Xenopus tropicalis: one gene and its partners. The protein of the gene in region 2 purifies or fractionates together with the protein of the main gene of each other region. This does not show direct contact. Links are inferred from orthologs where the notes say so. Each region holds a gene or a part of one and is shown on either strand. Other genes may lie near its edges. The genes, in order: ube2s, cdc27 and anapc2.

Region 1 (4,197 bases), on a different chromosome or scaffold from region 2:
CCAGTATCCTACTTGCTGTGGCTTGTACAGCAATGATGGGGCCAGTATCCTACTTGCTGTGGCTTGTACAGCAATGAAGGGGGCCAGTATCCTGCTTGCTGTGGCTTGTACAGCAATGAGGGGGCCAGTATCCTACTTGCTGTGGCTTGTACAGCAATGAAGGGGGTCAGTATCCTACTTGCTGTGGCTTGTACAGCAATGAAGGGGGTCAGTATCCTACTTGCTGTGGCTTGTACAGCAATGAAGGGGGTCCGTATCCTACTTGCTGTGGCTTGTACAGCAATGAGGGGGCAAGTATCCTGCTTGCTGTGGCTTGTACACAAATACTCTTTGCAGCATTGCAGGCTACTGATTGTCCAGAATTTGCCTTCTGTGGGAGTGTGGCCAAGACACATGCAAGACTGTTCAGACAAGGTGATATCCGCTAGAAACTATAAGCAATTATATTAAATTCCATCCTTATTTCTTTTCTGGCCAGTTATTGCAGGCCTCCCTTACAACACAGACACCCCTGCCCTAGTCCAGCAGCCTGTCAGCTAAATACATGCCAATCACTTTCATTGAGACTCATGCGCAGAACAATTGAAATGTAGATCTGTCGGCCTCTATATCAATAACAAATATTCACTTGCTTCATTTGCAGACACACAGCTGTTTTTATTAGCAGTTTTATTTTGCTATTACTATTAAAAATAGCATTCGGCGGTAAGAACAGCAACAACCAGCCTTGTACACCTCGGCCGTCCTATAACCATTCCCCCTAGCAACCACCGGAAACCCTATGGCCCAGCGCTCTCACTTCCCCAGGAACAAAAACTAACGTACGCTTTACATAACTGCACCCAATCCAGCTACGTCACTTAGTTATATTCAAACTGTCCAATCGGTAACAGCCTAACAACCTCCCTCTTACGGCTGTCACTTAATGATTCTGCTACGTTACTGGTTAGCGCAAATGTCAAACACTTTCAATGGGGGCGGGTTCCATTTCCTAGCAGTTTATTGGTGTAAACACGTGACGCGCCACGTTTGCGATTGGAGGAGCTAGCGGAGTGGGAGTGAGGCGTGCCTACAAGCAGCCGAAGGTTATATGAAGGGGCGTCGGTAAGCAAGAGAGGCTTAGTGCCGGGGGAGTGAAAGGAAGGATAGGTGGCTTGGGTCTGGGAACTGGGGTGGGAACCAAAGAAGGAAATATAAAAAAAAATAAAGTAAAAAATAGAAGAAACTATAAGTGTTGACGCTTGTATGCAGGACTAGGCCCAGACCGTGTTATTCACCAACGTCATATCCTTTTTTTTTGTTTTTAATTGGGTAGAATTACAGTTAGGCCTGGACTGTTCGTACCCAGCCTCAGAGAATCAAACACCGTCACGGCGCTGAACAGTTCTCCTCCGTCCCCCGTTTGGCACAGAGAGGCATGGTAAGTATCGGGGCTTTCCTGCTCTTATGGGGATCGGGGGAGGCGCAGTTCCACTGTGTCAGGGCAGCATTGCTAATGTATATACCTAGATTGGCAGCATTGCTAATGTATATACCTAGATTGGCAGCATTGCTAATGTATATACCTAGATTGGCAGCATTGCTAATGTATATACCTAGATTGGCAGCATCATGTGCTGTACATTCAGCTTCTACCCCTCTGAGGGCTGACTGGGAAGGAAATACATTTCCTAATCTTCCCCGAAACCCTTTCTGACTTCTCCCATCCGTTTCCATCGCTGGCTTTGTACCCCATGAGTTTGGGGACTCTGTATGTGCATCTGAGCTGTCAGGGAGCTGTCATACTGGTACCAGGGAAATGTTTTGTATAATTGGGCCTGTAGGTTGGCCTGACTGGCTTAGGGAAATGGTAATATCTGTATATTTTCAATCTGATAATACATTTACTATTGCATCTGATTTTGTTGTTGCCTTGTCTGGCCCGTGATATCGCTACTGGTCTTATTTGGTTATCATACCCTACTCTAGATCTCCAGCAGTTCTTTATGATGAGCATAATGCTGGGTTTTGGGAGTTATGAATGAGAGGTATCAGCCTGTGATGCTGCTTTGATACCGGATTTCCTAGTCAGTTGGTACTAATTACTATAAAGCAACTAGATATGGTTATTGTTTAGTAATGATTAGTTATCTTTTTTTTCTTACAGAATTCAAACGTTGAAAACTTGCCCCCACACATCATTCGTCAGGTCTATAAAGAAGTCTCCACTCTGACATCTGACCCTCCAGAAGGAATAAAGATCATTCCAAATGAAGAAGATATAACTGATGTCCAAGTTAACATTGAAGGACCAGGTGAGGTATAGCTGAGTTGTAATTAGGAATGTATGGTTCAGTAGTGTTACTGCCAAAGATCTTCAATTTTTTGTCTCAAAACTGCACCGACCCTGGGTTCTTCTGTATGAAAACTTTGTCGCAACCCTCCGATTCTTCCTTCTTGCCCCGGGCCAGCACATGTGTAGTGCAGTTTACAAAGTCAGCTTTTAACTTTACTGCACATTCACACTGGTCACTTACAGAAGTACCTCAGGTCTGTGCAGTTTTCTGCTAACAGGATCTCTGGCCCAGGCTATCAGGTAAGTTTATATAATCACTGGAGGTGTTTCTAAAATTCCCCTCACAAGGTAAATATTTTTCACAGGCCTCTGGTAAAAGATCTCTTACAGGGTACCTATTGCCTACAAATTGTTCCCTCTATCCCAGTGGTGCATGTTAAGAGCCTGCACTCTGTATGGTGGAAACAATAGTATATTTCAAAAGAAAAAACCCTGTTGCACACCTAGAACTCCCTGTTGGGGTATAGACCTAATGAGCAAGTGCCCCCCGATAATACGTTATACACATAACAAGTTAGCTGGGGCGCTTCCTTATGCTCCATAAGGTTTCTGCCACCTCTAGGTGGTGGTGTAAGAATTCTAGGGCTGACTGAGGGCCCCCAACCCATCTTATGTTGGATTCATTTGCAAAGCAGGAGAGTTGTCTTCTAACAATGAGTAGCTCCTTATTGAAACTCTTGTAGTTCTCAGGTGACCTGTAGTTTTAAGCCTTAGTAAAATGGGTGTATACAAAAACCTATATTTGCATAGTGAGAGAAAATATTGCACTAAGCAACTTTCCAGTATACATTCATTACAGTTTTTCTTCTGGGACTAACCCCTAAAACAGGAGTCTGGTCTCTTCCAGGTACAATTTCTACTTCAGCTATCAATCAAAAAGTCATGTTCCATAGGCCTCAAAAGGGGGCAGTATACCCCATTTTTCAGAGCTTAATGGTGTGTGGGCTTCTTTTGGTTGCACTTGTATAAACAGGAAGAAATTTGACTTTACATTTTCCGTATATACTCGAGTATAAGCCAAGTTTTTCAGCACCCAAAATGTGTCAGGTGCCATGGGTCCCTCCAGACCCCCTTTGTGTGACCCCCTGCTGCCCCTGCCAACCTGACAGGCTCGAACAGGGGTCCTCAAGCTATGGCCCCCCTGCAGGCCATAGTTTGAGGACCCCTGCCATAAATAAATGAGTTAGTCAGTCTCCTCCTCCGTCTAAGCTAGGGCCTAGCTAGTACCTGTGTTGGCATTCTGCACTTTTTCACCTATGGTAGAAAATAATTCCCACCAGGTTTTCACTAAGCCCTATGGAAGGACAGATGCCCCATTATCACTATATCATGACAGTTTGCTTTAATTGTTAATACATAAGTGTTCTGGAGATATATTACTCGACAATCTGCAGCTGCCAACATTATATATTTATGTAGAATTCACAGGGGGTCACGCAGAGTTGTCCTTTTATTAACTGATTATTGAAACTTAGCAGTAGCTGCTACATTTCTCACCCTAGGCTTATACTCAAGTCAATAGGTTTTCCAGTTTTCTTAGGTAAAATTAAGTACCTCGGCTTATACTTGCTTATATATGGTAGTTTCAGATTTTGCCCTGTTAACTGCATAAAATGAAAGCCATAGATATTTAAATAGGCAAAAAGTATGTTCAGCATAGGCCCTAATTATTACATTAATGTTGGAAAGGGGTGTCTACTTGTAAATTTTAGCGACAACATTTTTTAATGACTTATCTATCTGTTCTGTAATGTGTATGTATTAATCTCCACTATTCAAATACATTCTAAATATTTTACAGAAGGCACTCCATATGCAGGAGGTATCTTTCGAATGAAGCTGATTTTGGGCAAAGACTTCCC
Region 2 (3,649 bases):
CTCAGGACATCCCCCATCCCTTTCTATATCAGTGTCATTAGGGGTCACTGTATTAACCACTACAATTTGCCTGTTATCTCTTCAACATAATGGCTTTAGGTGAATAGCCATTTCAGGGTGGATACACTCACTGTGTAAGATCAGGGAAAGGTTTTGTGCCCGTATAAACAAAACACCATAAAAAAAGGCTTAACTCTTTACTTGCAAAACAAAAAAACACAACACTTTAAGAAGGCTATACCTAGGCCATACAAAAGTTTAGTTTTTTTTTTTTAATAAAAATATTTTTGTGCCACAGGTACCAGACCATCATTGTGAGTGGGAAGCTTGAATAGCCGTTTTGAGAGATCGATCACCCATTAGAGCTGAAACTCAGGATTCAAGGTTTGTCTGACTGACTTCAGTGTCCATATTTCTACCCCATCAGCTGAAATCTCATATAAAGATGATAATGTTTTTGTAAACAGCAGAATCCAAAAGGGTAGAAACAAGAACGCCAGCAGTTAAACTACAAACCATTTATTCAGGGAAGTGGTTGCATAACATGTTTCGGGTCAATACCTTTTATTAAGTTTACACTTGTGTAAAATGTGTACAAATGTGAAAGTGTACAAACTTTCACATTTCCACGTTAACATGTGCTTAGTGTAGCTCCACACAGGCTGACAATGTGCAAGACAGGGAGCGGAAAACAGCAGATTCGCTTTTCCCAGCCTGCATATAAAATGGAGGCAGATGAAAGCGAAGGACCTGTTTTGTGTGTCCCAGCCTTTAATCTACTTCAGTCAGGCAATCCGTGGATTCTGGCAAATGTCAGAGGTGCTGCTGTAAGTTGCCAAAAACAGTCCCTATTTAGTAAGCCTGGGGGGCTTTTTTATTTGTGCATTTGTGTTACTGCTTCTTTATGGCATAAACATAATTTAACACAAAACAATCAAAAGACCGATGATTATTTGAGATCAAAGGCAGAACTTTAATCTCAAATACCACAGCCAAAAATCCAGACTTACGATAGTGTCTTGAGGAGTCTCCATTAACACTGTATCAGGTTGCCTATGTTGTACAACACTGTGTGTGTTCACGGTCATTGTGCAAGTGTTGGGCAGGCAGTTACTGAAGTTCTGGAGTGAGGTCAGTTTGAATGTCTGCTCAGGGTCTGGCTTTTCACCTTAAAATGCAATCATATATTTACTAAGCGTGGGTACAAAATATGAACTGGTCAAAGCAAAATTAGAAGACACATAAATACAGAGCCCTTGAATGAGATTTGACACATCAGTGCATGGAGAAAAAAAAATATGAATTGAATACAACGGACACATAAAAGATGTTTCATGAAGATGTGCAAGTCCATTCAAACATACCTATTTCACACAGAGACTCAAATGGGGACCACAGGAAAGGATTTAAACTAAGGCTCTTTTGGTAACATTCTGCTCCTTTAGCCAATCGATCTGTTTTGCTGAAAAGGGACGGAGGGAAAAGAACAGAATTATTTTATCAGTCCATCATGAAGTCCATCAAGAAAGAGGCGTGCTCTGTGTGAGAAAAATCAATCCAGGAGTGCATATTTTGAAAGACAGAGAAAGGAAAAATAAACCTTTAGAAATGCTGTTTGTTTAGCAGAGATATTTGCCTACTTATTTGCCCTTCATGTTCCATGCCTATGGAAACTCCCTGATGCAAACAAAAAGTCATGTACTGTTCACTGTAGCAGAGCGCTGGGACTATGACTATGGCCATATACTGCAGGATTCAAAAGACTAAAGGAGTAGTCTACCTTTAAACTAACATTTAGTATTATGTAAATAGTGATGCTTTTTTGTTTTTTAATTATTTAGGTTTTGTTCAGTAGCTCTCAAGCGTGGAATTTCAGTAAACTGGTTGCTAAGGTCCAATATCCTAGAAACTAGGCAATGGTTTGAATGACAGTAAGATGAATCGGAGATGGCCTAAATTGACAGAGAAGTGTAACTATAATACATTTACAGCCTGACAGGCAAGCAAAGAAATCAAATACTTTTAAGTAATGAAGACCAATTGAAAAGTTTCTAAGAATGGGACATTCTATAACATTCTAAACGGTAAACTAACCCTTTAAGAGAAATAAAGGGAACCTTGCATAAAAAAATTGACATGTAACTGGGTGTTACCTTGCTGATTAATAATTTTCAATAACAATAAATGACTAGGATACACTCCATATACAGTAATACAGGTATAGGACACATTATCCAGAATGCTCAGGACCAAGGGTATTCCGGATAAGGAGTCTTTCCGTAATTTGGATCTTCATACCTTAAGTCTACTAAAAAATCATTTAAACATAAATTAAACCCAATAGGATTATTTTGCATCCAATACGGATTCATTATATTTTAGTTGGGATCAAATACAAAGCACTGTTTAATTTTTACAGAGAAAAAGGAAATCAATTTTAAATCTGAATTACAGTGGAGGAAATAATTATTTGACCCCTCACTGATTTTGTAAGTTTGTCCAATGACAAAGAAATGAAAAGTCTCAGAACAGTATCATTTCAATGGTAGGTTTATTTTAACAGTGGCAGATAGCACATCAAAAGGAAAATCGAAAAAATAACTTTAAATAAAAGATAGCAACTGATTTGCATTTCATTGAGTGAAATAAGTTTTTGAACCCTCTAACAAAAAAAGACTTAATACTTAGTGGAAAAACCCTTGTTTGCAAGCACAGAGGTCAAACGTTTCTTGTAATTGATGACCAAGTTTGCGCACATTTTAGGAGGAATGTTGGTCCACTCCTCTTTGCAGATCATCTCTAAATCCCTAAGGTTTCGATGCTGTATCTGTGCAACTCTGAGCTTGAGCTCCCTCCATAGGTTTTCTATTGGATTAAGGTCCGGAGACTGACTAGGCCACTCCATGACCTTAATGTGCTTCTTCTTGAGCCACTCCTTTGATGCCTTTGCTGTATGTTTTGGGTCATTGTCGTGCTGGAACACCCATCCACGACCCATTTTCAGTTTCCTGCAGAGGGAAGGAGGTTGTCGTTCAGGATTTCACGATACATGGCTCCGTCCATTTTCCCGTTAATGCGAATAAGTTGTCCTGTGCCCTTAGCAGAAAAACTACCCCAAAGCAAAATGTTTCCACCCCCATGCTTGACGGTGGGGACGGTGTTTTGGGGGTGATAGGCAGCATTTTTCTTCCTCCAAACACAGCGAGTTGAGTTAATGCCAAAGAGCTCTATTTTGGTCTCATCAGACCACAGCACCTTCTCCCAGTCACTCACAGAATCATTCAGGTGTTCATTGGCAAACTTCAGACGGGCCTGCACATGTGCCTTCTTGAGCAGGGGGACCTTGCGAGCCCTGCAGGATTTTAATCCATTGCGGTGTAATGTGTTTCCAATGGTTTTCTTGGTGACTGTGGTCCCTGCTAATTTGAGGTCATTAACTAACTCTTCCCGTGTAGTTCTAGGATGCTTTTTCACCTTTCTCAGAATCATTGACACCCCACGAGGTGAGATCTTGCGTGGAGCCCCAGAGCGAGGTCGATTGATGGTCATTTTGTGCTCCTTCCATTTTCGAACAATCGCACCAACAGTTGTCACCTTCTCTCCCAGCTTCTTGCTAATGGTTTTGTAGCCCATTCCAGCCTTGTGCAGG
Region 3 (3,649 bases), on a different chromosome or scaffold from region 2:
GGGAGACCCTGGGTTGGGTCAGGCAGCACCCTCATTCCCCTGGGTCAGCACCCACGTCACCCAGCCGTTACAGGAGTCTCTATTTACTGGGCTGGGGGGGTTGGGAAGCCAGGGGGGCTGGATATGTGGGAGACGTACAGGGGCAACAAATAGAAAAAAAAGCCTTCAAACAACACAGAGTAAAGTTCATTGTGTCCATTACACTATAGGGGGCAGTAGTGGGGTCTCAGCTGGAGTTCTTGGGCAGCCGATAGACCCCCCCAGAGTAGACCAGCTGGTGGTCGCTGACTTTCTTCTGGAGGAAGCTCTGCAGCTCCTGAATGTCGATCTCGGTGACGACGGGGCCGGTCATGACAAACATCTTGAGCATGGTGTGTATGCGCTCCAGGGGCAGGCTCTCCAGGTTGGTCAGCATGGCCTGTATGTAGGTCCAGAACAGCTACAGAACCCAAGGGCAAAGGGCATCAGTGTCGGCTCCGCCCCTCCCAGGCCCAGTACACCTTCAGTATGGTTTAGAATGCCCTATTCCTAGCAACTTTGCAGTTGGTCTTCATTGTTTGTTTTAGTTTCTGAATTATTTATGTTCTTTGCAGCTTTCAAATGGGGGTCAGTGACCCCGGCAGCCAAACCCTATTGCTCTGTGAGGCTCCAGTTTTATTGTTATTGTTACTTTTTATTCCTTATCTTTCTATTCAGCCCCTCTCCTTATTCATATTCATATCTCTCATCCAAACCACTCCCTGGTTGCTAAGGTAACTTGGACCGTAGCAACCAAAAACCTATTGCTCTGTGAGGCTCCAGTTTTATTGTTATTCTTACTTTTTATTCCTTATCTTTCTATTCAGCCCCTCCCCTATTCATATATCAGTCTCTCAATCAAACCACTCCGTGGTTGCTAAGGTAATTTGAGCCCTAGCAACAGGATAACTGACCCCGGCAGCCAAACCCTATTGCTCTGTGAGGCTTCAGTTTTATTGTTATTGTTACTTTTTATTCCTTATCTTCCTATTTAGGCCCCTCCTCTATTTATATTCCTGTCTCTCTTTCAAACCACTGCCTGGTTGCTAGGTTAAATCAGACCCTAGCAACCACATAGCCGCCGACATTCCAAGCTGGAGAACTGCTGAAGGAAAAGCCAAATAATTCAGAAACCGCAAATAATACAAAATGAAGACCAATTGCAAATTGTCTCGGAATCTGACTCTCTACAACATACTTAGGTGAACGACCCCAGTAGCTCCTCCCCTGCCCCCCCATACATACCTGCATCTCCTCTTCCTTCTGGTCGGCCTGGGAGGCCATGGCGGAATCCCCCTCCTCGTCGCTGTCTATTAACACCACCTTCTCGGGCCGATCTTTCTGCTCTTCCTCGATCACCGTGAATGTGCCGGGGGGATCCTCGCGGAGGACCCCGTGCTGAAGCCAGAAGGCCATTTTCTTTCTAAGAGAAGCCACGGGCACCTTCAGGACTTCACTCAGTTCCTCCAGAGTCCACGTGCCTGTGGGGGGAATGAACAGATCAGCACAGACAATATCTTGGAACATTACGGAACTACAACTCCCAGCAGCCTCCCTGGCGTTTCCATAGCAACATTACAGGACACTGCGGGGCACGTACTTTTGTTCTGGAAATGTAAGATGATGGCTGCGTGTACAGGAGACACAGGGAACGACAGGGTCCGGTCGGCCAGTTCCACATCCAGAACCACTAACCCGAGGTGGTGCTTCCAGTTCAGCGTGCGCATTGCCTATGGAGAGAGACACGGGCATCACTGGAGGGCACGGATGTGACTTTCATTACATACCTTATACTAAAGTACTGGGCCAATCAGAAGTGTGTATAATGTACAGCCAGTTCTTATTCGCTGCCCCTCTGTCCAATGACATTTTCCATATCATAAATGGGGTCCCTGACCCCGGCAGCTGACAATTATTCCTTTGTGAGGCTACGATTTCACTGTTATTATAAATCTGTATGACTTATTTTTCTATTTAGCCCCTCCTCAATTCATATTCCTCTCTCTCTGTCAAACCATTGCCTGGTTGCTAGGTTAAATAGGACCCTAGCAACCAGATACCTGCTGAAATTCCAAGCTGCTGAGAGAAAAAAGCTAAATACTTCAAAAACTACAGCAAATAAAAAAAATGAAGACCAATTGCAAATTGCGTCAGAATAGCACTCTCTGCATTATGCTAAAAGTTAAATTAAAGGGGAACTACCCCTTTAACGCTCACCTTGAGTTTCTCGTACTTCTTGGTGTACATGTCCATCACTTCTTTGATCTCATCAGGAAGCTCCAATTTCTCCTCCTTCAGCGCCGGCCAAAATTCACTGGACAGGATCACAGCAACGACATTAAATGGCGGCCGCTCTTCCTCTGGCAACTTCTCTTCCTCGTCTCGTATGTTAGAGTTAATCCTGCGGGAATCTGCCATGTCCTTGGGGGCATGATAACATGGTGCCATTATTTAGTCTTTAGAGACAGAGAGAGGGAGCACGAGAGAGAGGGGAGAAGGGAGGAGGGGAGGGAGAGAGAAGGGAGGCGAGAGAGGGAAAAAGAGAGGCAAGGAGAGAGATGGAGGGAGAGTGAGAGAGGGGGGGCAGGGGGAAAGAAGGAGGGGGAGAGAGGGAGGAGAGAAAGAAGGAGTGGGAGAGAGAGTTGGGAGGGAGAGAGAGAGAGAAAGAGGGAGGGAGGGGGAGAGAGAGTTGAGAGAGGTGAAAGAGAGAGGGGAGGGAGAAAGAGAGGGAGGGGGGAGAGAGGGGGGAGAGAAAGAAGGAGGGGGGAGAGAGGGAGGGAGGGAAGGAGGGGGAGAAAGAGTTGAGAGAGGTGAAAGAGAGAGGGGAGGGAGAAAGAGAGGGAGGGGGGAGAGAGGAAAGAGGGAGGAGAAAAAGAAGGAGGGGGGAGAGAGGGAGGAGAGAAAGAAGGAGGGGGGAGAGAGGGAGGAGAGAAAGAAGGAGGGGGGGAGAGAGGAGAGAGGGGGGAGAGAGGGAGGGAGGGAAGGAGGGGGAGAAAGAGTTGAGAGAGGTGAAAGAGAGAGGGAGGGAGAAAGAGAGGGAGGGGGGAGAGAGGAAAGAGGGAGGAGAAAAGAAGGAGGGGGGAGAGAGGGAGGAGAGAAAGAAGGAGGGGGGAGAGAGGAGAGAGGGAGGAGAGAAAGAAGGAGGGGGGAGAGAGGGAGGGGGGAGAGAGGGAGGGGGGAGAGAGGAGAGAGGGAGGAGAGAGGAGAGAGGGAGGAGAGAGGAGAGAGGGAGGAGAGAAAGGGGGAGAAAAAAGGGAGGGAGGGGGAGAGAGAGAGAGAGGGAGGAGAGAAAGAGGGAGAAAAAGGGAGGGAGGGGGAGAGAGAGAGAGAGAGAGAGAGAGAGAGAGAGGGAGGAGAGAAAGAGGGAGAAAAAGGGAGGGAGGGGGAGAGAGAGAGAGAGAGAGAGGGAGGAGAGAAAGAGGGAGAAAAGGGAGGGAGGGGATGAAAGTGGGAGGAGAGAGAGAGGGAGAGAGAGGTAGGGGGAGAGAGAGAAAAAGGGAGGGGGAGAGAAAGAGCCAACCAAAAGTCTCTTAGGGGGGTGATGTAATTAAAGGCACTAAGTTTGCCCAGGAGCAGTAACCCATAGCAACCAATCAGCAGGTAGCATTTACTGGTCACCTGTTTATAAGCA

What was found.
Region 1: the proteins of cdc27 (region 2) and ube2s purify together in Homo sapiens (affinity purification with western blotting; 4 studies listed by BioGRID, with this or other methods). This does not show direct contact. The link is inferred for Xenopus tropicalis from reciprocal best matches to the Homo sapiens genes CDC27 and UBE2S.
Region 3: the proteins of cdc27 (region 2) and anapc2 purify together in Homo sapiens (affinity purification with western blotting; 20 studies listed by BioGRID and IntAct, with this or other methods). This does not show direct contact. The link is inferred for Xenopus tropicalis from reciprocal best matches to the Homo sapiens genes CDC27 and ANAPC2.

The regions. Positions count from the first base shown.
Region 1 is NC_030683.2:106,141,909-106,146,105, reverse strand, and holds the start of ube2s (ubiquitin-conjugating enzyme E2 S), read left to right. Parts: upstream 1-1,359; 5' UTR 1,360-1,417; coding exon 1,418-1,420; intron 1,421-2,146; coding exon 2,147-2,294; intron 2,295-4,136; coding exon 4,137-4,197. UniProt on the Homo sapiens protein: Accepts ubiquitin from the E1 complex and catalyzes its covalent attachment to other proteins. Catalyzes 'Lys-11'-linked polyubiquitination.
Region 2 is NC_030686.2:17,329,339-17,332,987, forward strand, and holds part of cdc27 (cell division cycle protein 27 homolog), read right to left. Parts: intron 1,463-3,649; coding exon 1,365-1,462; intron 1,169-1,364; coding exon 1,011-1,168; intron 1-1,010. UniProt on the Homo sapiens protein: Component of the anaphase promoting complex/cyclosome (APC/C), a cell cycle-regulated E3 ubiquitin ligase that controls progression through mitosis and the G1 phase of the cell cycle.
Region 3 is NC_030684.2:1,696,459-1,700,107, forward strand, and holds part of anapc2 (anaphase-promoting complex subunit 2), read right to left. Parts: intron 2,440-3,649; coding exon 2,236-2,439; intron 1,749-2,235; coding exon 1,619-1,748; intron 1,500-1,618; coding exon 1,264-1,499; intron 440-1,263; coding exon 227-439; 3' UTR 1-226. UniProt on the Homo sapiens protein: Together with the RING-H2 protein ANAPC11, constitutes the catalytic component of the anaphase promoting complex/cyclosome (APC/C), a cell cycle-regulated E3 ubiquitin ligase that controls progression through mitosis and the G1 phase of the cell cycle.